Linked DNA regions of Stegostoma tigrinum. The protein of the gene in region 2 interacts with the protein of the main gene of each other region in a pairwise test. Links are inferred from orthologs where the notes say so. Each region holds a gene or a part of one and is shown on either strand. Other genes may lie near its edges.

Evidence for each region.
Region 1: the proteins of alas1 (region 2) and cdc73 interact in a two-hybrid assay, tested with the Homo sapiens proteins (3 studies listed by BioGRID and IntAct). The two-hybrid records come from large-scale screens. The link is inferred for Stegostoma tigrinum from reciprocal best matches to the Homo sapiens genes ALAS1 and CDC73.
Region 3: the proteins of alas1 (region 2) and lonrf1l interact in binary tests that used the Homo sapiens proteins (3 or more experiments, as listed by UniProt). The two-hybrid records come from large-scale screens. The link is inferred for Stegostoma tigrinum from reciprocal best matches to the Homo sapiens genes ALAS1 and LONRF1.
Region 4: the proteins of alas1 (region 2) and thymosin beta-10 interact in binary tests that used the Homo sapiens proteins (3 or more experiments, as listed by UniProt). The two-hybrid records come from large-scale screens. The link is inferred for Stegostoma tigrinum from reciprocal best matches to the Homo sapiens genes ALAS1 and TMSB10.

Annotation. Positions count from the first base shown.
Region 1 is NC_081361.1:34,774,186-34,782,134, reverse strand, and holds the start of cdc73 (parafibromin), read right to left. Parts: upstream 3,014-7,949; 5' UTR 2,968-3,013; coding exon 2,837-2,967; intron 1-2,836. Other genes in the region: glrx2 (glutaredoxin 2), read left to right, coding at 3,512-3,577.
Region 2 is NC_081364.1:23,022,683-23,029,777, reverse strand, and holds the start of alas1 (5-aminolevulinate synthase, nonspecific, mitochondrial), read right to left. Parts: upstream 3,022-7,095; 5' UTR 2,679-3,021; intron 1-2,678.
Region 3 is NC_081354.1:109,818,017-109,825,950, forward strand, and holds the start of lonrf1l (LON peptidase N-terminal domain and ring finger 1, like), read right to left. Parts: upstream 3,003-7,934; coding exon 2,444-3,002; intron 1-2,443.
Region 4 is NC_081356.1:13,022,627-13,029,377, reverse strand, and holds thymosin beta-10, read right to left. Parts: upstream 1,859-6,751; 5' UTR 1,781-1,858; exon of another isoform or gene 1,736-1,780; intron 995-1,735; exon of another isoform or gene 994-994; 5' UTR 984-993; coding exon 884-983; intron 802-883; coding exon 767-801; 3' UTR 512-766; downstream 1-511. UniProt on the Homo sapiens protein: Plays an important role in the organization of the cytoskeleton. Binds to and sequesters actin monomers (G actin) and therefore inhibits actin polymerization.

The DNA.
Region 1 (7,949 bases), on a different chromosome or scaffold from region 2:
TGTATTTGGTTTACAAACATGTTAATTCTCCAGACATTTAGTTTGCTTTACCCAAAAGTCAGAAGTAAAGACCTATTAATCCACTAAATCACGATTTTGTTTCTAATTAAAAATCAGATTTGATGAAAATACTGAGGACCCAAGTATAACATACCAACTTATTGGGTTCATTTTTTGATGTATTCTGTTCAATATCATAAGGGCAGTGTAGAATTTCCTTTAGAAGAACATATCTCAAACCAAATCTTGGCCGTGACATGGAATGGTATACTGTTGACTTTTACTTTAGCATAGAAAATGTGAAACATTCTGTGCAATTTTAAAGTGACTCAAAATTTGACATTTTATTGTATCCTGAAACAAATGGTGAAAAATCCAAAGAAGCATTAAACCAACTTCCTGAATGGCGCTCATGTGGATGGCGAAAATGCACACAATTCCTAGATAAACTCTAGGTTGCCTGCAAAAATTATACTTTGAAAAGGAGCAAATGTTTCCATACTGGTAAGTAATTAAAAATCAGACAACTCATACTGTCATGAGTTCAGGAACTATAACCAGTTTCACCCTTGTTGAGCAACAACAGGGCCTGGAATTCTGTTACGGTTTCCCCTCCAGATTATAATTTATGATCTCAGTTCAACACAGATCTGTAGAATTCTAGCAATGGAAGTACTAGTCTAAGATTCTTAGCAGCCAATTCACCTGCCAATACTTACTGGTTGAATTAAAGAAAACTAAAACGGATTACACAGTTCTGTATAATCAGTTGAAAATGTTGTTTAGAGCTTTGCAAGAATTAGCTTTAGGTAACAAAGCAGCAAACTGGTCCAAAATTCTTAATGTGGGAAAGAAAAATCAAACCTTAAAATATTCACGTTTTTCACTTTGCTTACAGTTCTCAAAAACATTTACATACCATAAATGATTTTCTGGCACAGGGCTCCATTGTAGTCTACGTCACAACTAAAAGCAAAAGCAGTGTACTAACAGATCCTCCTAGTCCTCACCCAATAGCTACCATCAAGAAGTGCAAACCCAACATATAGGCACTGTTTTAGAGTTCTTATTGTGCTCAGGTTTTGTAAGAGTCCTAACAAATTAGTACTAAGTAAAAGGTTCACACCCAAATACAAAACTGTTTGACTGCAGAAATGTACTAAATAGTAACAGGAATCTGTCACTGAAAAAATTCACAACTGTTACTAATATATTTTTAGGAATACAATTAAAAAAGCAGGACTGCTCTTTTTATGAGCTTCACAGACTGCAGGACTGAACAGTTTTGCGTAAAATCAGTTTTACAATACACTAACAGCTCTTTCTACTCCTAAGATCAGCAAAATTTAATTCTCTCAAGACCTGTCATAACATACAGTTCACAGTCTGTGGGATTGACAACAACTTCTTCAGGAGGCAGCGACTGGCACCGCAACTTGTGGTTGAAAGAACGCAGAGCTAACTAACTAATACACTCAGTAATTTGTTAAATAGACAACTGATTCACCAACACCATAATTTACACACTAATCATGGTAGGTAATTAATTCAATAGCTGAGTATTTCACTAACCACATAACTAATCCACTCACTAGAATAACTAATTCACTAAGATCAGAATCAATAATCAAAAATTGGTTTGAAAACAGAGCCAACTTCTCTCTGGTCCATTGCACCCGATCGTTTGGGGTCACCAGCAGCTGCTATAGTTATTGCTGTCCTTCCTGCAATTGACACACGATTCCAAATCAATGTCAAAGCTGCTTCCCAAGAAGGGTACTCATGTTGTCTAACAGCTGGAAACTATCACACACTAAATTTTTAGCAAGCAACAATTTCAGCTGTAGTCCTGCAAATATCTGATATTCTGAACACACTTAATTATCTGATATCAGTATTATAATTGGGATACATCCTATGACGAGAAAGTGTACTCTGTATCAAGCAATCGCAAGGCCTAGTTTTGAAATTTTCTGAAAAGTTACTTTGGAAGCTGTTTGGATGGTCTTAAAATGTGAATCATCTGGCTCACTAAAGCATCCTCCTTTTGTTGAATAACTTCAAAATGCCTCAAAAGCATTTGATGTATTTGGCTTTTAGCAGTAACTATTATGCAGTGAAACAGAGGGGCTGCTTGCATTTCCCAGTCAGTGATACGAGCTAGCATATGGAGAGTGCATTGTTCTTCCAATAAAGATAAAGAGCCCTTAAAATGAAACAGAGCCACCGGAAACAGCACACAGCAATTCGATTCAACATCTCCTCCGACAATCGGTGATTTATAATATAAACTACAACGCATTCAATCTGGTGGACGAAAAGTCTTTTGCACATTTAAGAAACTCGGCTACAACACCTCTGCAAAAGAAAATCGCGTGCGTTTGTTTAAAAAGCAGCTTTGATCAATTAAAGTCAAGCAAACAACTTAACAAAAATTGCAAAAAAAAGTCAAGAAAAGTTTGCGGCAACAGCTTCTTCGCCGAATTTGTTCAGATAGGGGCGCGATCACTCTGATCTGTACTTTTTTTTGTTGCTAAAGAGTGATACAAGTGTCAGTTTCCCCAAGCCACGACGGCTGACCGTACTGAATAAACAAACATAATTCCCTCCATTTTCTGTTTACAATTGACAATGAAAGTGACTTGTTAGGTGATATGATCAGTGAAATTGACAGGTGTCCGCCAGTAGCTCCACTGATCCCGCACATGCTGCTCAAACTCAACTCAACTGCACTCCACTCCACTCACCCCAGGCTGCACCTTCCCCGACCACCCCACAATGTTTACCTTCCACCCTCCACATCCATCCATGCAGCACTCCCGCGGACAGCACTCACCCCCAGATCACATAATTCGTCTTCACATTCTTCGGCCAGGAGAACTCTCCGAAGATGACCTCGTCCCCTTTCACCACAATCTCCTTCTTCTGGATGTTGTATTGACGCAGTACGCTCAGCACGTCCGCCATCTTGCCTCGGCTCCTAACAACCGGGTCCTGAGAGCCTGGGCTGCCCCGCTGCACTGCCTGTCGAGAAGGGAAGAGGGACAGGACCCTCATGCTGCCCGGGCAGACTGCCTGAGCCGGCGGATGGGCAGGCACGGATGTTAGCACTGTGGTCGAGTGGAACTGCCGTCTAATGATCTAAATCAGGAGACTGCAAGGGGTGGGGAAACGAAAACACACGCGTAGGGAAACTTTCATTTTGATGGGGGACTGGTGATCAAGTGGTTGCTGAGTTTGCAGGATCTCCATTGACAACGGCATCTACAGGAGGCGGGGACTGGCGCAGCAACTTGTGGCTGAAAGAACCCAGAACTAACTAACTAATTCAGTAATTTGTTAAATAGACAACCAATTCACTAACGTGATAATTTATGCACTAACCACGGTAGGTATTTAATTCATTCGCTAACTAATCCACTCTCTAGAATAACTAATTCACTTTGTTTGCCTTCGTGGCCCACACAGCTTGCTGTCAGCCTCGATTAAAGTGACAGTATTATTTAAGGTGATGGATAAAGATTCCTTCAATCTTCTGATGGTCAATCTTCTGGTAGAAGACACTAGTTTGGACAGTGTAAGTTTGACCAATAACATTTCGAATTATGAGTCGCAAAGAAGTTTTATACACATTGACGAATGAGAAAGACTGCACATCCTTTTGGGATGCATGATTGTGAAGTGTGATTTTATTAAATACAAAAAAAGTTAATTGACATCAAACCACTGTCAGCATAATCAAATCTATCACGATGCTAATATCTAGTGGTTTATAATGCATATGAGTCAGACATATATGCTGGCCGTATTTAAGACATTTCATGAAAGTGATTTTGATTTAGTTCACTGATCAGCAGTTATGCCTTATTAACTGTAGATTAAAATTTGTGATAAATACCTTCCACACCACTGCTCCAGTGAATCCAGATTTTAGCTTTCATTCTACATTAACTCATCCATGCAGGCAACGTTACCAACCTCTGAAACAAAGAGTCATTTATCACCCTCTTCCAATCAGTCTCATTGCTCTCTCACTTATTCTGAACTCCACAGATCCCTTGTACCACTCGGAATTGACTTTAAAACTCTCACCATTACTTAAAGTTTCTCCATGATCTCACCTAACTCAAAACTAGTGACTTCCAGATGTACTATTACACATCTTCACTAACGATGGCCTTTTTATTTGTCCCTTTTTTCTGCTACACCACCATAATGTGTTCCTTTAACATGAGACTGCTTCTGTTATCTAGCTTCCTGCACATAAGCACCCTGAAAAAAATTCTATTAAGCTATTTCCTTAGTTCCTCCCTCAATCTCTTCACCTTCTCTTTTCTCTTTGCTGTTTATTTTTCTGTTTAATGTAAAGCTTGGAGATTTCTTTTCTGGTATGAATGAATGCTGTGGAAATGTAAACTTGTGAAATGAATAGTTGCATAACAAGGTCAGGCAGAGCTAGAATATTTGCAGTGTGATCAATATTTGTGGGTTTTGATCAAGTCAGTCTGTTTATAATGTTATTATACATCTGTGGAGTTCTCAGCCTGCTTCAAGTTGCGAGTCATCAGAAGTTTTTGAGACCATCACTGGATCATGATTGAACATTGAAGTATTGTCAGTTGAGTTGAGCGGTGGTGTTGGTGCATTATTACGCTGCCTTCAGCTGAATGCCAATTTAGTGCCCAGCCAACCAAAGTTATGTCTGCTGCAAGCACCTGAGCCCCAGGCCAGGTGACTGGTGAAGATATGCCAGTCAATCAGAATTTCATTGTGCAGCAGATCCTCTTGGATTCTTAAGGAACAAAAAGGAGGGCAAGGCTTGCAGGAAATAAAGAAGGATATTACAGATGGGGATTACATGCTCTGGCCTGAATATTCTGCTGTGAAAAGGCAACATCACCATCTCCAAGGTTAAGGAGGTGTTGAGCAGTCACTTCATCGCAGATGTTGTATACAGAAATGCTCCCCTGAGATGAATTAACATTTAGTCCCGGTAATAAAGAGTGAGCTTCTGGCCATCTATAGCATTTCCCATTGCTCCTGGCAATGTCCAGGCCGGTTATTCTGCTCGGTGACTTCAACTGCATTATTGATGTGGCTGGACAATCCTGAAGAGCTGACAGATTCCTGATGGAAATAGTTAAAGAAGCCAAGCTGTATCAGAAAGTCCTTCATTGTCAAAGTGTCCAGAAGGTGAGAGAGAGAGATGGGGAAAACTGTCCAATCTACAGAAAAGGTTGCAAAACCACTGCTGCTACAGACAATGGATGTCAATGTCAAGGGGGAACTCAAAGAGATAAAGAGCCAGTAAGCCTTGTTTTTTGCCTTGAAAGCCTCCATGATTAAATGCTATTCCAGGGTCCGCACAGTGAAACAGGATGGGACATGCTCACGTTCGTTCTTCCAAAAGGTGCACAAGGAGAAATCCATGACCAACAGCCTGAAGAAGGAAGATGGCTCGATAACGTCACCTCAGTCAGATATCCAGAGGCCTCCCAGTCATTCTTGTCTTCCAGTACAATTTCTTAGAAGACTGCACACATGAAAAGTTAGAGCAGCCATTATCTCTGGATGAGCTGACCAAAGCCCTCCAGTATTTTGAGAAGAGTAATGCTCCTGGAAGTGACAACCTTCCAGTTGATTGGAATTCGGCTCTGTGGGACTTGATTGGCCAGGATTTGCTGGAGGTGTATAGCAGTATGTGTTTGAGAGGTAACATATGCAAACGCATGAGGAGTATCATCACCCTCATCTACAAGTAGCAGGGGGAGAGGGAGGAAATTAGAAACTGGTACCAATTTCACTGTTGACTGTGGATTACAAAATCCTACCTGAGATCATCACCAAATAGGTTGCGTCTTCTCTGTGATTGGTGATTCACTCCAACAAAATCTGTGCTGTCTCAGGCAGGAAGATCTCAGACAGCCTCGTGCTCCTCTGTGTGCAGGCCATGGAGTGGACACCTGGTTCCTCAGTCTGGACCAGGAGAAGGCCTTTGACAGGTTTTTCCACACTTACGTGAGAGATATACTGTCCAAGATGGGCTTTGGGGAGGGAATCTGCAATTAGATCTGATTGCTGTACACCAACATCAGTTGTGCAGTCTCAATCAATGGAACAACTGGGAGGCTGTGCTGTGTGTAGGCTTTGTGTCATACAATCTGGCATAAAAGGATTTTCTGATCCTCAGATGGGAATCAGAAAACTCCCTGATCAAATATGGGGTCAGGCAAGGCTATCAGTCTGTCCTGCCTTGCTTACGTGTTACATAGAGTCTTCAGTAAGGATGTAAGCTTGAGAGGGGTAATTATTCACAAGAGCAGAGGCTGCAGGTCCACGCCTCCTCATACATGAATGATGGCACCATTTTCTGCTGTAATCTGCTGTCAGTGCACAGATTCCTGAGCATCTGGGATCAGTTCAAACTGGCCTCAGGAGCCAAGGTACATCACGGCAAGAATAAAGCTGTGTTTTTTGGGAAGTGGGTCAGTTGAGCCTTTTTCACCTTCATCGTCAGGTCAGATTACCTGATGGTGCTGGGACTGTGGTTCAGAAGGACTGAGGCATGCACCCAAACTTGAGAGGAGTGTATTTCCAAAGTGAGGCAGAAATTGAACTGATCGGAGCACCACTTCCTCTAAATTGCTGGTAAAATCTTGGTCATCAGGTGTGAGGTACCCTCCGTGTTGCCATATACGGCACAGGTCTTCCCCGAGACTATGTCATTGAAGTCAGATGTGCCATCTTCCACTTCATCTGGAGATCAAAGAAGGTCTGTGTTTGTGTGGACAGCATGTAGAATGTTGCCCTCAATCTCATGGCTACCTTCACGTGTGGCTACATCAAGCTATGTGTAGATCCTCAGTATGCAAACACCAAGTGTCACTTCATACTAAGCTTCTACCTGTCCCCAGTGTTGCAAAGGATTGGTCTGGCCTCTTTGCTGTGGGACACTTCAAGTAGCTGGACTATTCTGTCTCACCTGTCCCTTGTGGAACAATTTGCGAAGGAAAACACCTTTGACCACAAGTCCATCATGTAATGTCCTCATGAAAAGGAGAGGGTTGATCCTCTCAGGTGGTTCACCAGTACTTTACAACAAGCACTAAAATGTAGCCAACTACTCTCCACTACCACAAGCTGCCCTCAAAGCGACTGCAGCAGGGAGAAGACTGTCACACATCTCCTTCTGGAATGTGCCTTTGCAGAGAAATGTAGGTTTTTGTTAAGGTTCGCCCCAAGCAGCTCCATGACACAGGACTCTGTGTTCTACAGCCTGTTCGCCAGCACATACAGCAAGACAAACATTGGCTGTGCCTTGAGGACCATCAACAGGGTGAAAGGAAACTTATTAGTCTTCCACTGGAAAGAGTTCACCTTGACCATGTGTTGCAGACTGGCACATTTCAAAGTCCAGGACTGTGTGCTGAAGGAGACAGTAAGGCTCAGGGTAACTGCTGCCAAAGTTCATTGGGGAAAGACCACCGTCCGAGGTCTTCCAGCTAAAGTATAATGACCGTCCATTCAGTTTTCAGATGCTCTTCGTTCCTCAAAATGAGTGCAAATAGTTCCTGCTTGATTGGAAAATACCTTTGTTTTGCACCTGCAAGGAAGTTCTCAGCAATGTCAAATTCCAGTGCGTGGTTATGTTTTCTCGCAGATTTTACAGAATTGTCCTGGGACCTTTCGCATCTACTTACAGATTTTTCTTTCACGATAAAGTGTATTTTTGCAATAAACTATCTGTAATCCGCTGGAGTAGTTGGGATTTGAACTGGGGTTGTCTCGGTTAGAGGTAGACAGACTACCGCTGTGCCAATAGCAGTCTCGGAGTTTAATGGTGTACACAGCATGCAATGCATTGTGACGGAACCTTAGAGTTAATGCATATGATGGCTAGTACTAGTGCTAGCACAGCCTCGGAGAACTGCGGTGAGAGCAAGTTTTAG
Region 2 (7,095 bases):
TTAAAAATTTCAAGCTTTTATCCTCTCACCCTGCTGTAAAAATAACCTGAGTGTAACTGGAACCTTTGTGACAAGAAAATAAAGTGACAACTCCTAGTTTTACCAATGTCAGATCAATCTCTCAATATTTCTTATAAATTACGGACACTCTGGCGTCAGATAATTGAATGAGCTAAACTCCTGTTTAAATGAGGATTTCATGGAGCCGTACCAGTCGCCAGCTGCACTAAACAGTCTTTTAATTTCCAAGGCCACTGATTTACAGTAAATGAGCTCAAATTCTATTTTACTAGGAAATATTCCAGAGTTTTTTTCTTAAAACTGGCAGTTGCGAAAATCTCAAGCCCATTCAATTTTTAACTCAAACTCTTGAAATTCCTTGGATCCTAGGGATTCTAAAAACAAGAGATTCCAATGACAGATCAAACAAAAACACCACTTTTTAAAACTTCTCCACTTAGAATTTCCACAATCTCACATTTTCTAGATATTTACCACCCCCCTCCCCCACTCCCCAAGCCTGATTACTAACTGTTTAATGTTTCTGTCAGCGGTAATCTCTAAAGCAAGATTCAGTTATAGCTCAGTCAGACAAGCTCCGTCTCAAATGATCCCTCAGGTTGAAAGTGATAACAGGGGTGAAAACAAAGTCAACTTTTGTAGAGAATACTACAGTAAATAAGCTACTCCCAGGAACTTGAGACCTGAAAGACCTCCAATAAGGTAATATCCTACCATTGTTTAGGCTACATTGAGAATTTTTTTTTCAGAATTTGTATCAATTGCACGTTGTTCTAAGTTAGTCACAACAGTTAAGCTCTAACATCTTGATTTACTGGACTATTGTTGAATTCAAATCTTTAGAATGTTTATCTAATGGGAGCCTTCAACATTTAAAAAGAAATCTGAGTCGATTCAAAAATAAAATCCAAATATTAGAAATATAGGCTCATAACAGGATGTTGAAACTTTCTGTTGCCAGACTTCTGGCAAATGTGAAGGAGGAAACAGTATACTGTATCTATTTAGATTGTCTAATGGCATCCAAGTTGGATGTGCACATAAACAGCACAAAGCTCAGACCCCACCTACAGTATCTTTCTCGCACCATTTCAAAAACATAGTACAGTCAAATGCAAAATTACAAGTGTAGGGATAATTATAACTTTCTGCAATATATTTCCTCCTTCAATTAGCTTGTGGAACTGCCAGAGTCACAAAGGACCAGTCTACTGTATCTTACTGCAGATTGATGATGTTATGATGCAACATGATGAGCAAGTCTATTATTCATAGCTCTCAAAACTGTGACAATAGGTCAGAGGGAAGTAAACGGTGTTATTAAAGAGCAACATTCACAGTAGCTGCATTTTGACACAGTAATATCACTTATTTTAACCAATGAACTAGAATGAGACATTGGGCATATTAAAATTTCTATGTTTTCAAAACTGAAAATAGCTTGGAAGTGCTAACATCAGTTCACAACTGAAATTGTGAATTATCCACAAAAGAGCTGTAAAATTGAGCTAAAAAATGTGCAAAGCCACTGACAGAAATTAATGTTAGGGATTGAAATTAGTGTTCATTGAAAATATCTGCTTTGCAGTCAAAGCATTTTCTTTACAAGACAAAGCTTGCATTATTGTGTTGTTCACCCTCAAATTCTTTTAAAAATCATATAACCTATCTATGCTCTCACACATAGATATCACACATCTAAGCAAGAAATTAATGTATTTCTCCATAAACTAGTTCATAGTTGCAGGTATACACTTTCAGGTAGAGTTTATTTAATCCCTGCATTGTGAACAGAATACAAAATAGAATATCAGACTCCTGTAAATTCATCTAAAGAATACAAGTATGGCAGGTAGTTATGCACTTTAAAGATTAGCACATTTTGACATTAGAGTACTCAACATAAACAGGTACAAGTTTGGCAAATATATATCCTTTTTTCCTAAAAGGACACTTCATTTAAAACACAAAGTAGGTGAGTTTTACAATAAGTAGCACATCAACTACAGAGGAATCAGAAAAGCATTGGAAAAGACTCAAATCAGTAGCACCTGTGGAGAATGGAGCCAAGTCCACATTTCAGGCGTATGACTCTTCACCTGTATTCCACCGTTACAAATGCAACCTAATCAGCTGAGCGGTCCTAACATTTTACATGACCTTTATCCGCCTCTGAAAGAATTTGATCTATTCCATGTAGGGCAAAAAAACCCGGAAAAAAACCCCAACATTTCTCAATTTTTAAACAGTTGGGCCCATGATTCCTGACAGAGCCACAGTTCCCGTATACGTGAAAGGACGGAAAGCGGAAGAGAATCAACAAGCTGATCATTTGTTTGGAAAAAAACTGAGGAACATTTCAGCTTCATAAACAAGAGAACATGAAGCACGACACAGGAGCCCACCTCGGAGACCCCGTGAAGTCCGAGCCCATAAATCTACTGCTTGGCTAAAGCTGGTTTAAAGGTTATCGCCTCTCCTCCCCTCCCATCCCATCCCCCAGGCAAAAGGGAACCTCTCCCTCTCCTTGTCCCTGTTGTGGAGCAGGCAGCAGCACAGCCGGAGTAACCGGGATAACAGGGCCTAGTCGCCGCGGATAGGCAGGAAGCCAACAAATCCCATTTGGAAGAAAACACCGACAGATGTCTGTGCCTTACCAGTTATTAATGCTACGGATAGCGGTTTTGAGGAAGGGTCGGCGGACCCGAAACGTTAATTCGGATTTCTTTTCTTCACAGATGCTGCCAGACTTGCTCGAGCTTTTCCAGCAACTTCTTATGCCTCGGCTATCGGTGCGGTGTGCGACTGAGCCAGGCTAGATTGTAATAGTCTCAGTCCCGTCCGCTGTTGTCCTACACTGAGGACGAACTGGACTGTAAATAGCTCGGTCTCTCCCGCTGTTGTCCTACGCCGAGGGCCACCTTGACTGTAACCGGGTCGCTCGCTCTCGTTGTCCTGCACTGAGGACGAACTGAAGAGAAGCCGCGCGGCACCGCCGGTAATAACATTAAGCAAAGCAGACGAATATCGCGAGATTTCCCCGTCCGCCACGCCCCACCCGTCAGTCCCACCTTCCAGTCGACCGCGCCCCAGCCCTTGACCCCGCCCCTTCCCAGCTATCTCCGCCCCTTCCCCAAATTGCTCCGCCCCTATCCACGCACCTGTCCCCGCCCACTGACTTCAAACCTTCTGAAGCTCATGCGCCCTCTAGTGTAGATGTTCTTTCAGATCATCCTGTTCCCGTGGGTTGACAAACAAACATACCTCTGGGATTTGGACCTGGGTCCACGGGACCGTTGTGGCACAACTGCCGTCCCTCCCCTTTAACAGCATTCACCCTGGTGTGATTTGAACTTCTGCTCTTAGATCACCAGGAGGTTGTGGATGATTGGCCCAGTGACATTACCACTGTACCACCACCTCCTCAACCAGATTTGTAATTAACCTGTTGATATCCTGGGGCCCCCCCAATTTGCAAACATCCAACTTATGAACATGATCCCATACTAAGGTGTAATTTTAAACATCTGACATACAAATATTTCCTGTACTTAAAAGAAAGCTATTTCATATTGTCCTACAATCACGTTCAGACTGGAGTACAAGTCAACTTGAGAACGGATTAAAGAACATGATCCCATTGCAGCCTGTACATGTCATAGCATGCACCACATGAAGCCAAACGTTAGTGTTGTGGTTCTGGATTGCTAGCTCATTGACAGTACTACTGTCACAGCACCACCTTCTCAGGCTTAACTATATAATTTTTTGTGACGACCTGCACAGTTGCATGTCAACTCCCCAACAGCTCGAGAAGAAATTGCTTTCTTTGAGGGATCATCCTTTCTACTCTCTCGGGCTGGAATGCAGATGGGTCACAGAAAGTCGCGAGTGCATTGCCACTTCACAGTCCAGGGCCAGGCCAAGATAATGCAGGAAAGGCCCCCTAATTGTACGTACTCTGCACAATGACCCTTTCCAGCACTCACTCACACAATATGAAGATATCTCAAGAGGGCTTGCGAAATCATATACACTTTCCTCCAAACTTGAGTGACACGTGCTGGTGATGTTTTAGTACCTGATCTCTGGAGTGATGCATATGCAATTTGTTCATTCACTGACACAAGGCAATGAAAAATGCTACAATTCACTAACTTAATCCTCACACAGGGACAAAACAAGAGAAATCATTTTTTTTAATGCTAAGAGACAGACCAAAACAAGTCTGTTTAAACTTTCAAAGCGGAGACTTGGACTGTGTCCAATTCATTTCACATGAATAGCAACTGAGCGGGGAAGGGGGAACTCCAATCCTGATCGTTGGGGAATTGCTGGAAGTGTACGTGTTCAGATACTGACGCAAGGGGAAGTTAGCAAGCAACTTCTGATGCAATAATAATGAACGAATAACCTACGGAGTTTCAACATTAATTACAGTTAAAAACTACCCCGGAAGTTACAAAGGGCTTTGGATGCCCCAGTGTTGTGAAAAATGTGAACGAGCCTGTCAGTACATTACAAATTCATTGCTGTCAAGTCATCACGTATGGGTGTCCAGGGATTGCTTTTCTTTCATTTGCAAATCATGCCTTTTTAAAAAAAAAACAAACTACTAGTACAACACGCCACCACTGTTTGCCATAGAAAACATTAAATCAGTGCAAAAGTATGAACGTGAAAATCAACACATTTCCACTTAACTTTGTTACACAATACACCCAGTGGAATTCATGTTAAATTCGTACAGGTTTTTTTACTCTAGAATTTTTGAGTTGTGCTAATTGCCAAATCCCAGCCAATTAAACTTGAGATAATAAAGTGTGAAGCTGGATGAACACAGCAGGCCAAGCAGCATCCCAGGAGCACAAAAGCTGACGTTTCGGGCCTAGACGCTTCATCAGAGAGGGGGATGGGGAGAGGGAACTGGAATAAATAGGGAGAGAGGGGGAGGTGGATTGAAGATAGAGAGAAAAGAAGATAGGTGGACAGGAGAGTATAGGTGGGAAGGTAGGGAGGGGAAAGGTCAGTCCAGGGAAGACAGACAAGTCAAGGAGGTGGGATGAGGTTAGTAGGTAGGAGATGGAGGTGCGGCTTGGGGTGGGAGGAAGGGATGGGTGAGAGGAAGAACAGGTTTGGGAGGCAGAGACAGGCTGGGCTGGTTTTGGGATGCAGTGGGTGGAGGGGATGAGCTGGGCTGGTTGTGTGGTGCAGTGGGGGGAGGGGACGAACTGGGCTGGTTTTGGGATGCGGTGGGGGAAGGGGAGATTTTGAAGCTGGTGAAGTCCACATTGATACCTTTGGGCTGCAGGGTTCCCAAGCGGAATATGAGTTGCTGTTCCTGCAACCTTCGGGTTGCATCATTGTGGCACTGCAGGAGGCCCATGATAGACATGTCTTCTAAAGAATGGGAGGGGGGGTTGAAATGGTTTGCGACTGGGAGGTGCCGTTGTTTATTGCAAACTGAGCGAGGTATTCTGCAAAGCGGTCCCCAAGCCTCCGCTTGGTTTCCCCAATGTAGACGAAGCCACACCGGGTACAATGGATACAGTATACCACATTGGCAGATGTGCAGGTGAACCTCTGCTTAATACGGAAAGTCATCTTGGGGCCTAGGATAGGGGTGAGGGAGGAGATGTGGGGGCAAGTGTAGCATTTCCTGCGGCTGCAGGGAAAGGTGCCGGGTGTGGTGGGGTTGGAGGGCACTGTGGAGCGAACAAGGGAGTCACGGAGAGAGTGGTCTCTCCAGAAAGCAGACAAGGGTGGGGATGGAAAAATGTCTTGGATGGTAGGGTCGGATTGTAGATGGCGGAAGTGTCGGAGGATGATGTGTTGTATCCGGAGGTTGGTGGGGTGGTGTGTGAGAACGAGGGGGATCCTCTTTGGGCGGCTGTGGCGGGGGCGGGGTGTGAGGGATGTGTTGTGGGAAATGCGGGAGACGTGGTCAAGGGCATTCTCGGCCACTGTGGGGGGAAAGTTGCGGTCTTTGAAGTACTTGGACATCTGGGATGTGCGGGAGTGGAATGCCTCATCCTGGGAGCAGATGCGGTGGAGGCGGAGGAATTGGGAATAGGGGATGGAATTTTTGCAGGAGGGTGGGTGGGAGGAGGTGTATTCTAGGTAGCTGTGGGATTTGGTGGGCTTGAAATGGACATGAGTTACAAGCTGGTTGCCTGAGATGGAGACTGAGAGGTCCAGGAAGGTGAGGGATGTGCTGGAGATGGCCCAGGTAAACTGAAGGTTGGGGTGGAAGGTGTTGGTGAAGTGGATGAACTGTTCAAGCTCCTCTGGGGAGCAAGAGCCGGTGCCGATACAGTCATCAATGTAACGGAGGAAGAGGTGGGGTTTGGGACCTGTGTAGGTGCGGAAGAGCGACTGTTCCACGTAACCTACAAAGAGGCAGGCATAGCTGGGGCCCATGCGGGTGCCCATGGCCACCCCCTTTGTCTGTAGGAAGTGGGAGGAATCGAAAGAGAAGTTGTTGAGGGTGAGGACGAGTTCGGCTAGACAGATGAGGGTGTCGGTGGAGGGGGACTGGTCGGGCCTGCGGGACAGGATGAAGCGGAGGGCCTTGAGGCCATCTGCATGTGGAATACAGGTGTATAGGGACTGGACGTCCATGGTGAAAATGAGGTGTTGGGGGCCAGGGAATTGGAAGTGCCCATGGCCACCCCCTTTGTCTGTAGGAAGTGGGAGGAATCGAAAGAGAAGTCCAACCTGTCTCTGCCTCCCTAACCTGTTCTTCCTCTCACCCATCCCTTCCTCCCACCCCAAGCCGCACCTCCATCTCCTACCTACTAACCTCATCCCACCTCCTTGACCAGTCCGTCTTCCCTGGACTGACCTATCCCCTCCCTACCTCCCCACCTATACTCTCCTCTCCACCTATCTTCTTTTCTCTCCATCTTCGGTCTGCCTCCCCCTCTCTCCCTATTTATTCCAGAACCCTCACCCCATCCCCCTCTCTGACGAAGGATCCAGGCCCGAAACGTCAGCTTTTGTGCTCCTGAGATGTTGCTGGGCCTGCTGTGTTCATCCAGCCTCACATGTTATTATCTTGGATTCTCCAGCATC
Region 3 (7,934 bases), on a different chromosome or scaffold from region 2:
GGTGGGAGGAAGGGATAGGTGAAAGGAAGAACAGGTCAGGGAGGTCGGGATAGGCTGGGCTGGTTTTAGGATGCAGTGGGGGGGAGGGGAGATTTTGAGGTGGGTGAAATCAACATTGATACCATTGGACTGCAGGATTCCCAAGTGGAATATGAGTTGCTGTTCTTGCAACCTATGGGTGGCATCATTATGGCACTGCAGGAGGCCCAGGATGGACATGTTGTCTAAGGAATGGGAGGGGGAGCTGAAATGGTTCGCGACTGGGAGGTGCAGTTGTTTATTGCAAACCGAGTGTAGGTGTTCTGCAAAGCAATCCCCAAAACTCCGCCTGGTTTCCCCCATGTAGAGAAAGCCACAACAGGTACAGCAGATGCAGTATACCACATTGGCAGATGTGCAGGTACACATGTGCTTGATGTGAAAAGTCATCTGGGGCCTGGGATGGGGGTGAGGAAGGAGGTGTGGGGGCAAGTGTAGCACTGCCTGCAGTTGCAGCAGAAAGTGCCGGGTGTGGTGGGGTTGGAGGTGACTAGGGGGAATTCTCTTTTGGCAGTTATTGTGGGGGGTGGGGTGTGAGGGATGAGTTGTGGGAGACATGGTCAAGGGCGTTCTCGACCACCGGCAGGGGGGGGGGGGGGGGGGGGGTGGGGAGAGAGACTTGCGGTCCTTGAAGAACGAGGACATCATTACTCCCAGTTCAGCATGAGAACAGAAGAATAGATTGACTGATTGATTCAAAATGCGGGCATCAGGGCCAGTTCTGCGCAAAGGACACCTCAATAAGATGGTGGACCTGCATCAAAATGGAGCCAAGACTAATATCCTTACAAGGAAAATTGCTATCGCAGTTGGGCAGGGTTTAGACTGGACTGGCAGATGAAAAGGAACCACTGTGGGAAATCACATTGGAGGAAACAAAACTGCAATGGAAATAAAGGGGTAATACACAAAATTACAAAGTAAAAGTTGTGAAAGCAAACATCAAATAGCAGACTGCAAAATAATGTTAAAAAGGCAGAATTAAAGGTACCCTATCAATGTACACATGATTAAAAATAAAGTTGCTGTTTTAAAGACACGAATTCAAGTTAACAGGTATAATTTATTTATTATTACAAAGATGTAACTAAAGGGTAACCAAAATTGGGAATTGCAATTATTCAACATTTCAGAGGCATAAGTGAAAAGACAGATGAGGTGGGATAGTGCTCTTAATGAAGAATGTGATCAGTATAATAGTTAGGAAGGAACCTACATTGAAGGATCAAGGTGTAGGAGAGGTGAGGAGCAGAAATGGACAGCAAATATTGACAAGTTTTTTTTAAAAAAACAGGCCACCAAACAGTACAAGTAGTAACGTTGGGCACAGTAGAAATCAGGACATTAGAAATGTATTTAATGAGAGCGATACAATAATATTGGTTGAATTCAATTATGCATAGACTGGGTAAACCTAATCTGCAATAATAATGAAGAGCATGCAATCTTCCAGCAGTATGATGAAGAAACAACTAGGAGTTGGGATATTTTAAGATTTAGTATTGTGATGAGAGTAACACTGCAGTAGTTCAAGAAGCTAGTTCACCACCACCTGTTCAAGGACAATGATGAGCAATAAAATGATAGGCATTAAGGGTCACTGTCTCAGTCATGTCTTTTTCTACACCTCATGAAGGCAAAAAACATGGTCTGACAAATTCTGGGAAGATGACATTTTCAATCTTGAAAACAAATTACTTTGTTCAGTTTTAATTACTATTGACTTCTCTCAAGCTTGTGATTTGGTCTGGCAATTCCTCTTTCTCGACAGTCATCTCTCCACATTTTTAACTGCCTAGTTGGACGCTTGTTTTCATTACCGTCTGAGAATGCAAGTACAGTATGATCCAGTGCAAATCAAAACTCAAACCGATTAAAAACTGGAAACAGTGATGTCACACAATAGAAGCAACTCTTACTGCCCACTGAATTTTGAAAACGTAAATGATTTGATCACGGTTACCACATTTTACACCACCCCCGACAAACTCCACTTTAACCTATTTGATTGCACGATTATTTCAGAATACAGAAAGAGAAGCTGCAAGAAATGCCCTGGCAAATAAACGGGACTCAACGCAACAAAGTGTCACAGTCACTTCTGAGTAACCAACTGTAAGTACTGTTTACATAACAAGAACACCGCCCTCTTGGAAGGGAAAGGCTGCACGCCTATGAATAACAGAAGTTGTCATTGCTTCATCCTTACGGTCCGAGAGCAGAAATCAAAGTGCAAAAACCGTAAAAGAAACAATACGCCAATCAGTCTCCTGGAGGAGTTGAGTTCTTGGCGGGGGCAGTCTCCATTTATAAAACACACGGTTCCGTTTACACAACGGGAACAGTCAGTCACAGGGAGTGAACCTTAAAGAGACCTCTAAGTACACCAAGTGTCCCCACTCACTCAGTTCCAGTTGCTCCAGCAGGGTCAATGCCTCTGAGAAGCGGCACTGGGCCAGCAGCTCCTCCAGTTTGATTTTATCCCGGGCCAGGCTGACCTCCGCCGGGAACCACTTAGTAATCAAGTGGCTCAGAATGACGTTCGGTCGCAGAAACTGAGCGCTGGCCACCTCCTCGCCACAAGCCGGGCAGCGAGGTCTCCTCCACAGGCAGCGCCGGCACCAGGTGTGCCCACAGCGCAGGGTGACAGGTTCGGCCAGCAACTCCCCACAACAGCCGCCACACTCCAGGAGGCCTTCCCCAGCCGGGACACCAGCTCCGTTTGGGCCGCCAGCTCTTCTTTTGAAGCGGTGCAGGAGACAGTGCACCAGGTCACGCAACTGGTCAGGCCGCAATGACCTTTGTTCCCCAGCCGTGGGCCCAGGCTTCTTCCCGGGATGGACAACGCCGGTGGGTCCGGGAACAAGAGCTCCGCACGGAACCACTGACATCGCTCGAGTGACGGGCGCATGCGTTCTCCGCCCCTCTTGCGGCTGGCACGTGCTCGAGAGCGCAGCTGTCATTGGAGGAGACCGAGAGAGGGGAGAAGGCTGTACAAACAGTACAAAATAACTGCGGCAAAAGTTTCATAACATGGGAGAGGGCGGGGCACGCAGACAGATTACAGTCTGACTGGGTGTAGAACAGCCAGAGTACAGACTGAGTGTGGGTGAGGTCGGCCAGGCAGACAGATTACAGTCTGACTGGGTGTAGAACAGACAGAGTACAGACTGAGTGTGGGTGAGGTCGGCCAGGCAGACAGATTACAGTCTGACTGGGTGTGGCACACATAGAATACAGAGTGTGGGTGAGGTCGGCCAGGCAGACAGATTACAGTCTGACTGGGTGTAGAACAGCCAGAGTACAGACTGAGTGTGGGTGAGGTCGGCCAGGCAGACAGATTACAGTCTGACTGGGTGTAGAACAGACAGAGTACAGACTGAGTGTGGGTGAGGTCGGCCAGGCAGACAGATTACAGTCTGACTGGGTGTGGCACACATAGAATACAGAGTGTGGGTGAGGTCGGCCAGGCAGACAGATTACAGTCTGACTGGGTGTAGAACAGACAGAGTACAGACTGAGTGTGGGTGAGGTCGGCCAGGCAGACAGATTACAGTCTGACTGGGTGTGGCACACATAGAATACAGACTGAGTGTGGGTGAGGTCGGCCAGGCAGACAGATTACAGTCTGACTGGGTGTGGCACACATAGAATACAGACTGAGGGGAGAACAATGTGACGTGTGGGACAGGCAGGTGGACAGAATATAGTGTGACCATGTGGGGCAGTTAGGCAAAGTACCACCTGACTGAGTGTGGGACAGACAAACAAACAGACAAAGGCTGAGCGTGGGACATACACGCAGAGTAGAGACTGACTGAATATGAGACAGACAGAGATAATGGGAACTGCAGATGCTGGAGAAACTGAGATAATAAAGTGCGAAGCGGGATGAACACAGCAGGCCAAGCAGCATCTTTGGAGCACAAAAGCTGACGTTTCGGGCCTAGACCCTTCATCAGAAAAGGGGGATGGGGAGAAGATTCTGAAATAAATAGGGAGAGAGGGGGAGGCAGACTGAAGATGTATAGAGGAGAAGATAGGTGGAGGGGAGAGTATAGGTGGGGAGGTAGGGAGGGGATAGGTTAGTCCGGGGAGGACGGACAGGTCAAGGGGGCGGGATGAGGTTGGTAGGTAGGAAATGGAGGTGTGGCTTCAGGTGGGAGGAGGGGATAGGTGAGAGGAAGAACAAGTTTGGGAGGTGGGGATGAGCTGGGCTGGTTTTGGGATGCAGTGGGGGGAGGGGAGATTTTGAAGCTTGTGAAATCCAACACAAGTCCTCCTCCTGGACACCACCCTCAGGCCTCCTACCCTCCCTTGACCTCTTCATCTCCAACTGCCCTCTAGATATCAATTGCCACAACCTCTCCACCCCTCTCACCCACTCCAACCTCTGTCCTGCAGAACGTGCTGCCCTCCACTCCAACCCCAACCTCACCATCAAACCCGCAGACAAGGGAAGCGCAGTTGCAGTTTGGCGCACTGACCTCGACATCGCCGAGGCCAGACACCAACTCTCCGACACCTCCTCCTACCGCACCCGGATAATGATCCCACCCCCGAGCACCAAACCATCATCTCCCAAACCACTCACACCTCATCACCTAAGGAGACGTCCCACCCACAGCCTCCAACATCATTGTTCCCCAGCCCCGCACTGCCCCCTTCCATCTCCTTCCCAAAATCCACAAACCCACCTACGCTGGCCGACCCATTATCTACGCCTGCCCCTGCCCCCTGAACTCATCTCCAACTCTCTGGCTTCCATTTTCTCCCCCTTGGTCCAGGAACTCCCTACCTACGTCCATGACACCACCCACGCCCTCCACCTCCTCCAGAATTTCCAATTCCCTGGTCCCCAACACCTCATTTTCACCATGGATATCCAGTCCCGATACACCTGCAGTCACCATGCAGATGGCCTAAAGGCCCTCCACTTCTTCCTGTCCCGCAGACCCGACCAGTCCCCCTTCACCGACACCCTTATCCGCCTGGCCGAACTTGGCCTCACCCTCAACAACTTCTCTTTCGATTCCTCCCACTTCCTACAGACAAAGGGGGTGGGCATGGGTACCCACACGGGCCCCAGCTATGCCTGCCTCTTTGTAGGTTACATGGAATAGCCCCTCTTCTGCACCTACACTGGCCCTAAAACCCACCTCTTCCTCCGTTACATTGATGACTGTATCTGCGTCGCCTCATGCTCCCAAGAGGAGCTCGAACAGTTCATCCACTTCACCAACACCTTCCACCCCAACCTTAAGTTCAACTGGACCATCTCCAACACATGCCTCACCTTCCTTGACCTCTCTGTCTCTATCTCAGGCAACCAGCTAGAAACTGATGTCCATTTCAAGCCCACCGACTCCCACAGCCACCTAGAATACACCTCCTCTCATCCACCTTCCTGCAAAAATTCCATCCCCTATTCCCAATTCCTTTGCCTCCGCCACATCTGCTCTGAGGATGAGACATTCTACTCCTATACACCCCAGATGTCCTCGTTCTTCAAGGACCGCAAGATCCCCCCACTGTTGTCGAGAACGCCCTCGACACAGTCTCCTGCATTTCCCGCAACTCATCCCTCACACGCCATTCCCGCAATAACCGCCAAAAAAGAATCCCCCTAGTTCTCACATACCACCCCACCAACCTCCGCATACAACGTGTCATCCTCCGACACTTCCGCCATCTACAATCCCACCCCACCACTAAAGACATTTTTCCATCCCCACTCTTGTCAGCCTTCTGGAGAGACCACTCGCTCCGGGACTCCATTGTCCGCTCCACACTTGCCACCAACCCCAGCACACCCGGCACTTTACCCTGCAGCCGTAGGAAGTGCTACACTTGCCCCCACACCTCCTCCCTCACCCCCATCCCAGGCCCCAGGATGACTTTCCACATCAAGCAGATGTTCACCTGCACATCCGCCAATGTGGTATACTACATCCGCTGTACCCGTTGTGGCTTCCTTTACACTGGGGAAACCAAGCAGAGGCTTGGGGACTGCTTTGCAGAACACCTATGCTCAGTTCACAATAAACAACTGCACCTCCTAGTCGCGAACCATTTTAACTCCCCCTCCCATTCCTTAGACGACATGTCCATCCTGGTGCCACCTGCAGTGCCATAATGATGCCACCCGAAGATTGCAGGAACAGCAACTCGTATTCCGCTTGGGAACCCTGCAGCCCAATGGTATCAATATCGATTTCACAAGATTCAAAATCTCCCCTCCCCCCAGTGCTTCCCAAAACCCACCCAGCTCATCCCCGCCTCTCTAACATGTTCTTCCTCTCACCTATCCCCACCTCCGACCTCAAGCCACACCTCCATTTCCTATCTACTAACCTCATCTTGCCCCCTTGACCTGTCCATCCTCCCCGGACTGACCTATCCCCTCCCTACCTCCCCACCTATACTCTGCTCTCCACCTATCTTCTCCTCTATCCATCTTCAGACCGCCTCCCCCTCACTCCCTATTTATTTCAGAATCCTCTCCCCATCCCCCTTTTCTGATGAAAGGTCTAGGGCGAAATGTCAGCTTTTGTGCTCCTAAAATGCTGCTTGGCCTGCTGTGTTCATCCAGCTCCACACTTTGTTATCTTGCAGACTGACTGCGTTTGGGACAGTCAGGGAAAATACAAACTAACTGCCTGGGTTATAGGCTGACTAACAGAATGACTGAATGACAGACTGACAATTTGACAGAGTGACTGATGGTATGTCAGGGTACCTCAGCCACGGGTCTCCAAATCATTCTGTTACTGCAAAGATCATGGGTGCTCACCACATTTCAGAAGTAGTACTTGGAGGGGCAAAATAGTCCATGCCTGCTTACAAAATGGCATACAGAAGCTTTTCAAAACTAAGCAGCCTGTTCACACAATGATATACGATGGTACCTTTGAACAAAGCAGACAGAAGGTCAGTAAAGGAATGCTGTGTGCTCCCATCTGAGGAAGCTCTGATAAAAGGATGCCTAAGGACAGATAAGTGACTAATTTTAACCTTATTTTAAAAGGATGGTTGTTCCAGTAAATGAATAGCATGAGGTCCTAGATTAAGTCCCTCGGCAACTGCAAAAGTAAACAGCTAAAGTTACTTTGTAGTAAATAGTTGCTTCTTTGAAACTATCTGCAATATTAAATAGACTCTAGTTTAAGTATCCTTAATCATAGAAGTAGTTTTCAATATATAAACAACGTATAATGTAAGCATTAGCGGAAAAGCGTTTAAACCTAGATGTGAAAGTTAATTAGGCTCAGGAAACACTTAATCTTATGCCCTAAGCAAGATAGAATGTTCACAACCCATTAATTACAACGTGCTAAGAGTGTAAGTAGCTGCACAACTTTAGTTTTTATAACTAGATTTATAATAGAAATTAACCTTATAGCAATTAGTCAAAAGTAATTATCTTCTGTATTTTCACGCATCTAATTAGGACAGTGGGAAATATTAGAAGAAGCACTGAATTTGATAAAATAAACTGCATGTGGTGCAACGACTAGTAGAATTCACACTGTCCTTAGAGATAAGAAGCCTGAGACAGATCTGAAGGAATGTGGCCAGTAAACCAGAGCAAATCCAACATAGCCAATTGCCACTCCATCAGTTTACTGTCAATTGTCAGTAAACTCATTGAAGATGTCATCAATAGTGCTATCTAGCAGTACCTGCTCAGCAAGACCCTGTTCAGTGACACCCAATTTGGGTTCCGCCAGGGCCACTCAGCTCCAGACCTCATTACAGCCTTAGTTGAAACATGGATGAAAGAGCAGAATTCCAGAGGGTGAAGTTAGGGTGACAGCCCTTGACATCAAGGCTGCATTCAACTAAATGTGATTTCAAGGAGTCTAAGCAAAACTGGAGTCAATGGGAATCGAAGC
Region 4 (6,751 bases), on a different chromosome or scaffold from region 2:
TAACCGCATAGAAGTGCTCTTATCAGACATTAATCCAATTGCAAATGTCTTGCATCAGCACCAGCACAAATACACAGCTCCCAATTAAAAGCACAGAATGGATAACAAGTTTCTTTATTTTCTTTCTCAGAATTAATTTTAATAATGTCATTTCTGGATACTCAGGGCATTCACTCCTTGAATCCTGAAGGGGAAGTTGGATTCTAACCAATTAAGCTAGATTCTTCAGATGAAAATGAATAGTGCAAGCAGATACAGTAGGCTGTCCACTGTAATGCACTGCTTGGTAAGTTTAAAAGGGCCTGAATATTGAGAGCTTCAAATTCGATACAGGTTTAGACAGCCTGTACAGAGTCTGTCTGTCATTCTGCCAACACAATGCCAAACAAACTTTTAGGCTAGTACCAAATTATCCCAATTTCATCATCATTTTACACTTCTATTCTTATCTGATCCTACTTAGGAAATTTAAAACAAGTGAAGCCTTGCTGAAACCAAAGGAAAGACAACATTCAGCACAAATTGAATTTTTATTATTCATTTCCTTTACAGCACCGAGGAATGCATGAGGACCACAGCAGAAATGACTAAACAGGGGATGAGAAGCCCCAGATCCTTCACTTTGTAGTGCTTCACCTCTGTCAGTAGTTCAGTTCACAGTATAGATCAGTGATTTCTTTTCTCAAAAAAAGCAAGGAGAAAAAAAGCACCCTAGAGATTCTTGCAGCCATGGACAGAGTTGACTCTCGGCAGGTATGGCCACAATCTAGTTGCTCTCTGCCTTCTTCTCCTGATCAATAGCTGGAAAAGAAATAAATTAAACTCAGATTAAATTAATTGAGGGAACAGCTGGAGGAAGTAACAATCCCAACACATTCCTTACTTTCTTTTGTAGGGAGAGTGTTCTTCACTTCTGTGTCTGTCTTCTTCAACTTGCTCTTATCAAAGGAGGCAACCTCCCTGAAGTCAGGCTTTTCTTCCATTTCAGTAAATCTGAGGGGAAAAAAGTTAGCCTTAACACCAGCCTGTACATTTATAGCACTGGCAGAGTATGGAATACAGAGTTTAAAGAATCTCTTGTTCCAAAATTCTCCATGTCACAGGCGCAATAAATGAAGTAAACAACAAGGAGAGAATTATTTTCATATCATTCCCATTTGCCCCAAACCATCAAATTTCACACCCCACACATCCCACTGCCCACACCCCCCTCACTTTTTTTTACTCAGCACCCCCACCCCACGCCACGCCACTGCCCACACCCCCACCCCACACCACACCATCCCATTTTTACTCAGCACCCCCACGCCACACCATCCCACTGCCCACACCCCCTCCCCACGCCATCCCACTTTCTTACTCAGCACCCCCCGTTCCTATCTCCAAGCGTCCCCCACCCACCTTCCGGGACACATTATGGTGGGATTTCCCAGACAAAGACGGCGGGACGAGGGGCCCATCCCTCACCCGCGGAGTGAGAACCGAGCGATACGGTTGGGGAGGCAAGCCCGGTGAGGGGTGGTAGAAGGTAGACGCGAGGTGGGGGTGCCGCTCCCTCATTACCCCCCCCCCCCCCAGTTGAGGGGGTGAGGTGTGTGGGGGTCTGTCTGGGTGGGGGAGTAAGAGTCTGTGCTGCGCCCTCTGTACCCCCGGGGTGGGCGGTGGGGATCTGTGTGGGATGGGGTATCGTATCGCTCCCTGGTTACCCCCCGGGGCGGTGCCGCTCCCTCCGTACCGTCTGTCTGTCTGTCTGTGTCTCTCCCTCCGAGCCCCCACTGACCGCTCTCCGCCGCTCGATCCACGAACAATAGCCACCGCCGCCGCTTCAGCCCTTTTATAGAGTCCGGGACCCGCCCCTTCCAGGGCCTGCCCCGCCCACCTCGTCCCGCCCCTTCTTGCTCTTATATGGTTCAAGGGGCGGGGGCGGGAGATCGTGTCGATTTAATCAATGAAGCCGAGAAGAGACAAAGGGAGAAGGATGGGGATGGGGACGGGGTTGGGGATGGATGAGATGCGATAGGGATGGATAGATGGATACATAGATAGGGGTAGAGAGAAAGGGGGGGGGGTGGAGAGAGAGAGAGGGAAGGGCATGTAGACAATTGATCAGGTGCCCTCCCAAGCTGTAACCTTGGATTGTGGCACAGCTAGGTGCAAGCAGGCAGAACTACAAAAGCTCCAGGGAAAAATGGACTCGGAATTTGCCTTCCACTAACTGTTGAACAGCTCAGAGTGCCTTGTCAACATTGCATTTACTTGGAAATGTTTCCTTTGTCCTTGCTTGGACTTGATTTTCATTTGATTGCCCCATTGTGGCACCTATGATTCTTATGGGGATCCTCATGGCACCTTCGATATAACCGCCTACCAAAGGCCCTGGTCAACTCTGTTAATTCATTCAGCAAAGCCAGAGGTGAATCACTCCTGTAGAGCATCAGGTTCAGCTCTGCAAAGCAAATTACCACAGACTCTAGGGTACATCAAAGGCCCTTTATGACCAGTTGTAACTGTTGGGCAAATTTTCCACCTTTAGTTTTGACTGTGCAAAGCTTTGATACCCAATACAGAAGTGGCACATTCAGCCCTATTCAGCCAGTTTCATTAAGCAATTATCTCCTGACTGATCTACAGTAGCTGTATCTGAACTCCACTTACTAAGAGTAGTTCCACATCCCTTCATACCCTTACCTAATAGAAACCTAATGGCAGAGCAATGGAAACTCAGAGAAACCGAGGGATCCCTGAAGGTGGTATGACAGGTTAATATGGAAGTTTTAATGCATATGGGACACTTGCAAATCTTATCAAATATGGCATGGAGCTGTACAAAACTTTGTTTTGAACACAGCTGGAGTGCGGTGTGCAGTTCTGGTCACCACACTATAGGTTGGATGCGATTGTATTGGAGGAAGTGCAGAGGAGATTCACCAGGGTATTGCATGGATTAGAGCATTTTAACCATGAAGAAAGTCTGGATAGGCTCTTTTTTTAGAGCAGAGAATTATGTGAGAGGACCTAATAGAGAGAGATAAGATCATGAGGAGCATGGATAGGGTGGATAGAAAGCAGCTGTTCTTCTTGGTTGAAGGTCATTAACAAGGGGACATAATTTTACGGTGAAGCACAAGAGGTTTAAGAAGGATTTGAGGAAAAAGACTTTCACCCAGAGACTAGTGGGAATCTGCACAAGTGAGGTTAGTTGATGAGACACCTCACAGGTGAGATTAGTATCGATTTAGAGTAGGTTTGTCAGTGCAGATTTGATGGGACTGAAGGGCCTATGCTGTGTGATTCTAACAGTCTTAGTAATGAAATATCCAAATTATCTACCCTCAGCAGCTTTATTTGTGAGAAAGTTCTAGATTTCTAATAACCTTTGTGCGTAAAAGTTGCTCCTTCACATTCATCTTACATCATCACCTTAAAATTCAAAATCCCAAATAATTCTCGCTTCAGAAGGTTCCATATTTGGAGCACTGTATCTGTATGATCTTGTTGAGCTCCATTGTAGCTCTCCTCCCTATTGACCATTTCCCCAATTTGGTGTCATATTCAAATTTTGAAATTGTGTTTTCAATTCTAAGTTCCAAAGCACATAGAGATTGTGAACCACAGAGTTCCCAAAACTGCTCATTGCCCACTTTCTGCTACTTAGAACAGCTATCCCCCAATCCTACCTGCTGCTTACTGTCTTGAAGCCCGCTATCTATCCATTCTGCTACTTATCACTTAAGTTTGCATGCTCTATATTATGCAGCATCTTCTGAAAGTCTACCTAAGTTCCATCCAGTTAAGCATTAATATCTCCCCATTTTTACTTGTGTTATCTGCTCTTGTTTATTCCTCACTACCAGATCCAATAGTGAATCTCCCCTTATTGGCCTTTATTCATATTGGGTTAGAAAGGATTCTGCACATTCACCATTTCAGCATTGTTGAACTCCTCAATTATAATTTTTTTTGCTAATTACCGTAATTGTTAGTATAGCTTTTCCATCACCTCCTTTTTACTATTAGGTAGCCTATAGACTACCTTATTGATAGTGATGAATACATTATTATAACTTATTATAACTTGTAACTTATTATACCTTATCTCTATCCACAAAAATGCTATTTCTGTTTTACTGATGGCTGCGCCAATTTTTTTTTCTGCTGCCAATGTACTCTCTCTAATAAATACAGCTGCTCCACTGATCACTTTTTACAGTCTCTAATTTCTAAATGGCTCATTTGCTAATTGATTCAACTTCATTCATAGACTGAACTCAATTTGTTCATTATCTAAATATCTTATACCCTGCTGCATGTAATTACCAGTCCTGATTTTTCTGTAGCCATGTAGAATTGACAACGGGGTATAAGGCATCCTCAGTTTGAACGTAAGACTTCCACTCTAGGAGGATTATACAGAGGTCTTTCCAACATTGCCACATCAGCAATGCGATTGACTCTAAATTCCCTTCAGAAATGGTCCTAGCAAGCCACTCAGTTGTATCAAACCACTATCAAGCCTAAAAGGAATTAAATCGGACAGATTATCCAGCATCAACCAAGCCACAGGAAACTATAATGGCAAACTCAGCCCTGTCAATTCTGTCAACAACAAACCAATCAAGCAACAGCCAGAGATAGCCATTCTCGTGAAATTCCAAATTATGTAGTAGACTGGATTTAAGGCGAATGGCAAGGGATGTAACAAGTAGGAAATACTTAATTCACATTATTTTGAGCAACCTACCCGTCACAGGTACATCTGACCACGTGTGTATTGGCAGTGGTGATCATAACGTTGCCTTTGCAAGGGAATGTCTATAATCTCCATGATGAGACAGCCCAGCATCTCAGTGCAAAAGACAACATTGAAGCATTTACATCCACCTTGGATGATCTATTTCATCCTTCCCCTGAGGTTTGCAGCATCGTGCATGCCAGTCTTCAGCCAATTTGATTCACTCCAAATGATATCAAGAGATGGCTGAAGGCATTAGATACTACAAAGGCTATTGCCCCGACAATATTCCAGCAACGATACCAAAGACTTGAGCTCCAGACCTTGCTAAGTCCGAAGCCAAGTATTCCAGTATAGCTACAATACTGTCATTGGCCCAGTAAGCTGGATAAGTACCTAAGTATGTTGTAACAAAAAGCAGAACAAATCCAACCTGTCCAATGATCAGATATCAAGAGCGATTAAGAGATAGTTGTCAATTAGCTGATATTAGATTTGGGGTCTGCTAAGGACACTCAGCTCATGACCTCATTACATCCTTGGCTTAAACATAGACAAAACAGCTGATTCCAAAAGTGGGGCAAATACATTACGGACAAAAGAGTAACCTGGGGGGGTGGGGCGAATAGGGCATCTTTGAGATCAGCAAGGCTGCCTATGTGTGGAGCCTCAGAAGATGGGGGAGATTCTAAATGAGCATTTTGCAATCAGTGTTTACTGTGGAGACAGATATGGAAGTGAGAGAACTTGGGGAAATAAATAGTGACATTTTGAAAAATGTCCGTATTACAGAGGAGGAGATGCTGGACATCTTAAAATGCATAAAGGTGGACCTGATCAGGTGTACCCAAGAGCTCTGTGGGAAGCTAGGTAAGTGATTGCTGGGCCCCTTCCTCAGATATTTGTATCATTGATAGCTAGTGGTGAAGTGCCAGAAGACTGGACGTTAGCTAACGTGGTGCTACTGTTTAAGAAAGATGGGAAGGAAAATCCAGGGAACTACGGATCGGTGAGCCTGATATCAGCAGTGAGCAAGTTGTTAGAAGGGATCCTGAAGGACAGGATTGACATTTATTTGAAAAGGCAAGGATTGATTAGGGATAGTCAACATGGCTTTGTGCATGAGAAATTGTGTCTCACTAACTTGATTGAGTTTTTTGAAGGAGCAACGAAGAGGATTGATGAAGGCAGAGTGGCGGACATGATCTATATGGACTTCAGTAAGGCAATCAGCAAGGTTTCATGTGGTAGGCTGGTTAACAAGATAAGATTACATGGAATACAGGGAGAAATAGCCATTTGGATACAATACTGGCTCAAAGGTAGGAGACAGAGGGTGAGGGTGGAGAGTTGCTTTTCAGACTGGGGGCCTGTGACCAGCCGTGTGCCAGAGGATTGGTGCTGGGTCCACTGCCTTTCTCCATTAAACAAATGATTTGGAAGTGAACATAGGAGGTATGGTTAGCAAGTTTGCAGAAGACACCAAAATTGGATGTGTCGTCGGCAGCGAAGAAAGTCACCTATGAGTACAACTGGACATTGATCAGGTGGGGCCGATGAGCCAAGAAGTGGCAGATGGAGTTTAAGTTAGATACAAGTGAGGTGCTACATCTTAGTAAGACATATCAGGTCAGGATTTGTACATTTAATGGTAAGGCCCTGGGAAGAGTTGCTGAACAAAGAGACCTTGAAGTGCAGGTTCATAGTTCCCTGAAAGTGGAGTTTCAGGTAGATAGTATAGTGAAGAAGGCGTTTGGTACGCTTGCCTTTATTAGTCAGTGCATTGAGTATAGGAGTTGGGACGTCATGTGGCTGTACAGGACATTGGTTAGGCCACTTTTGGAATATTGCGTTTAATTCATGTTTCCCTGCTATATGAAAGATGTTGTGAAACTTGAAAGAGTTCAGAAAAGTACACAAGAATTTTGCTAGGACTGAAGGGTTTGAGCTACAGGGAGAGGCTAAATAGGCTGTTTTCCTGGAGCATTGGAGGCTGAGGAGTAACCTTATCAAAGTTTA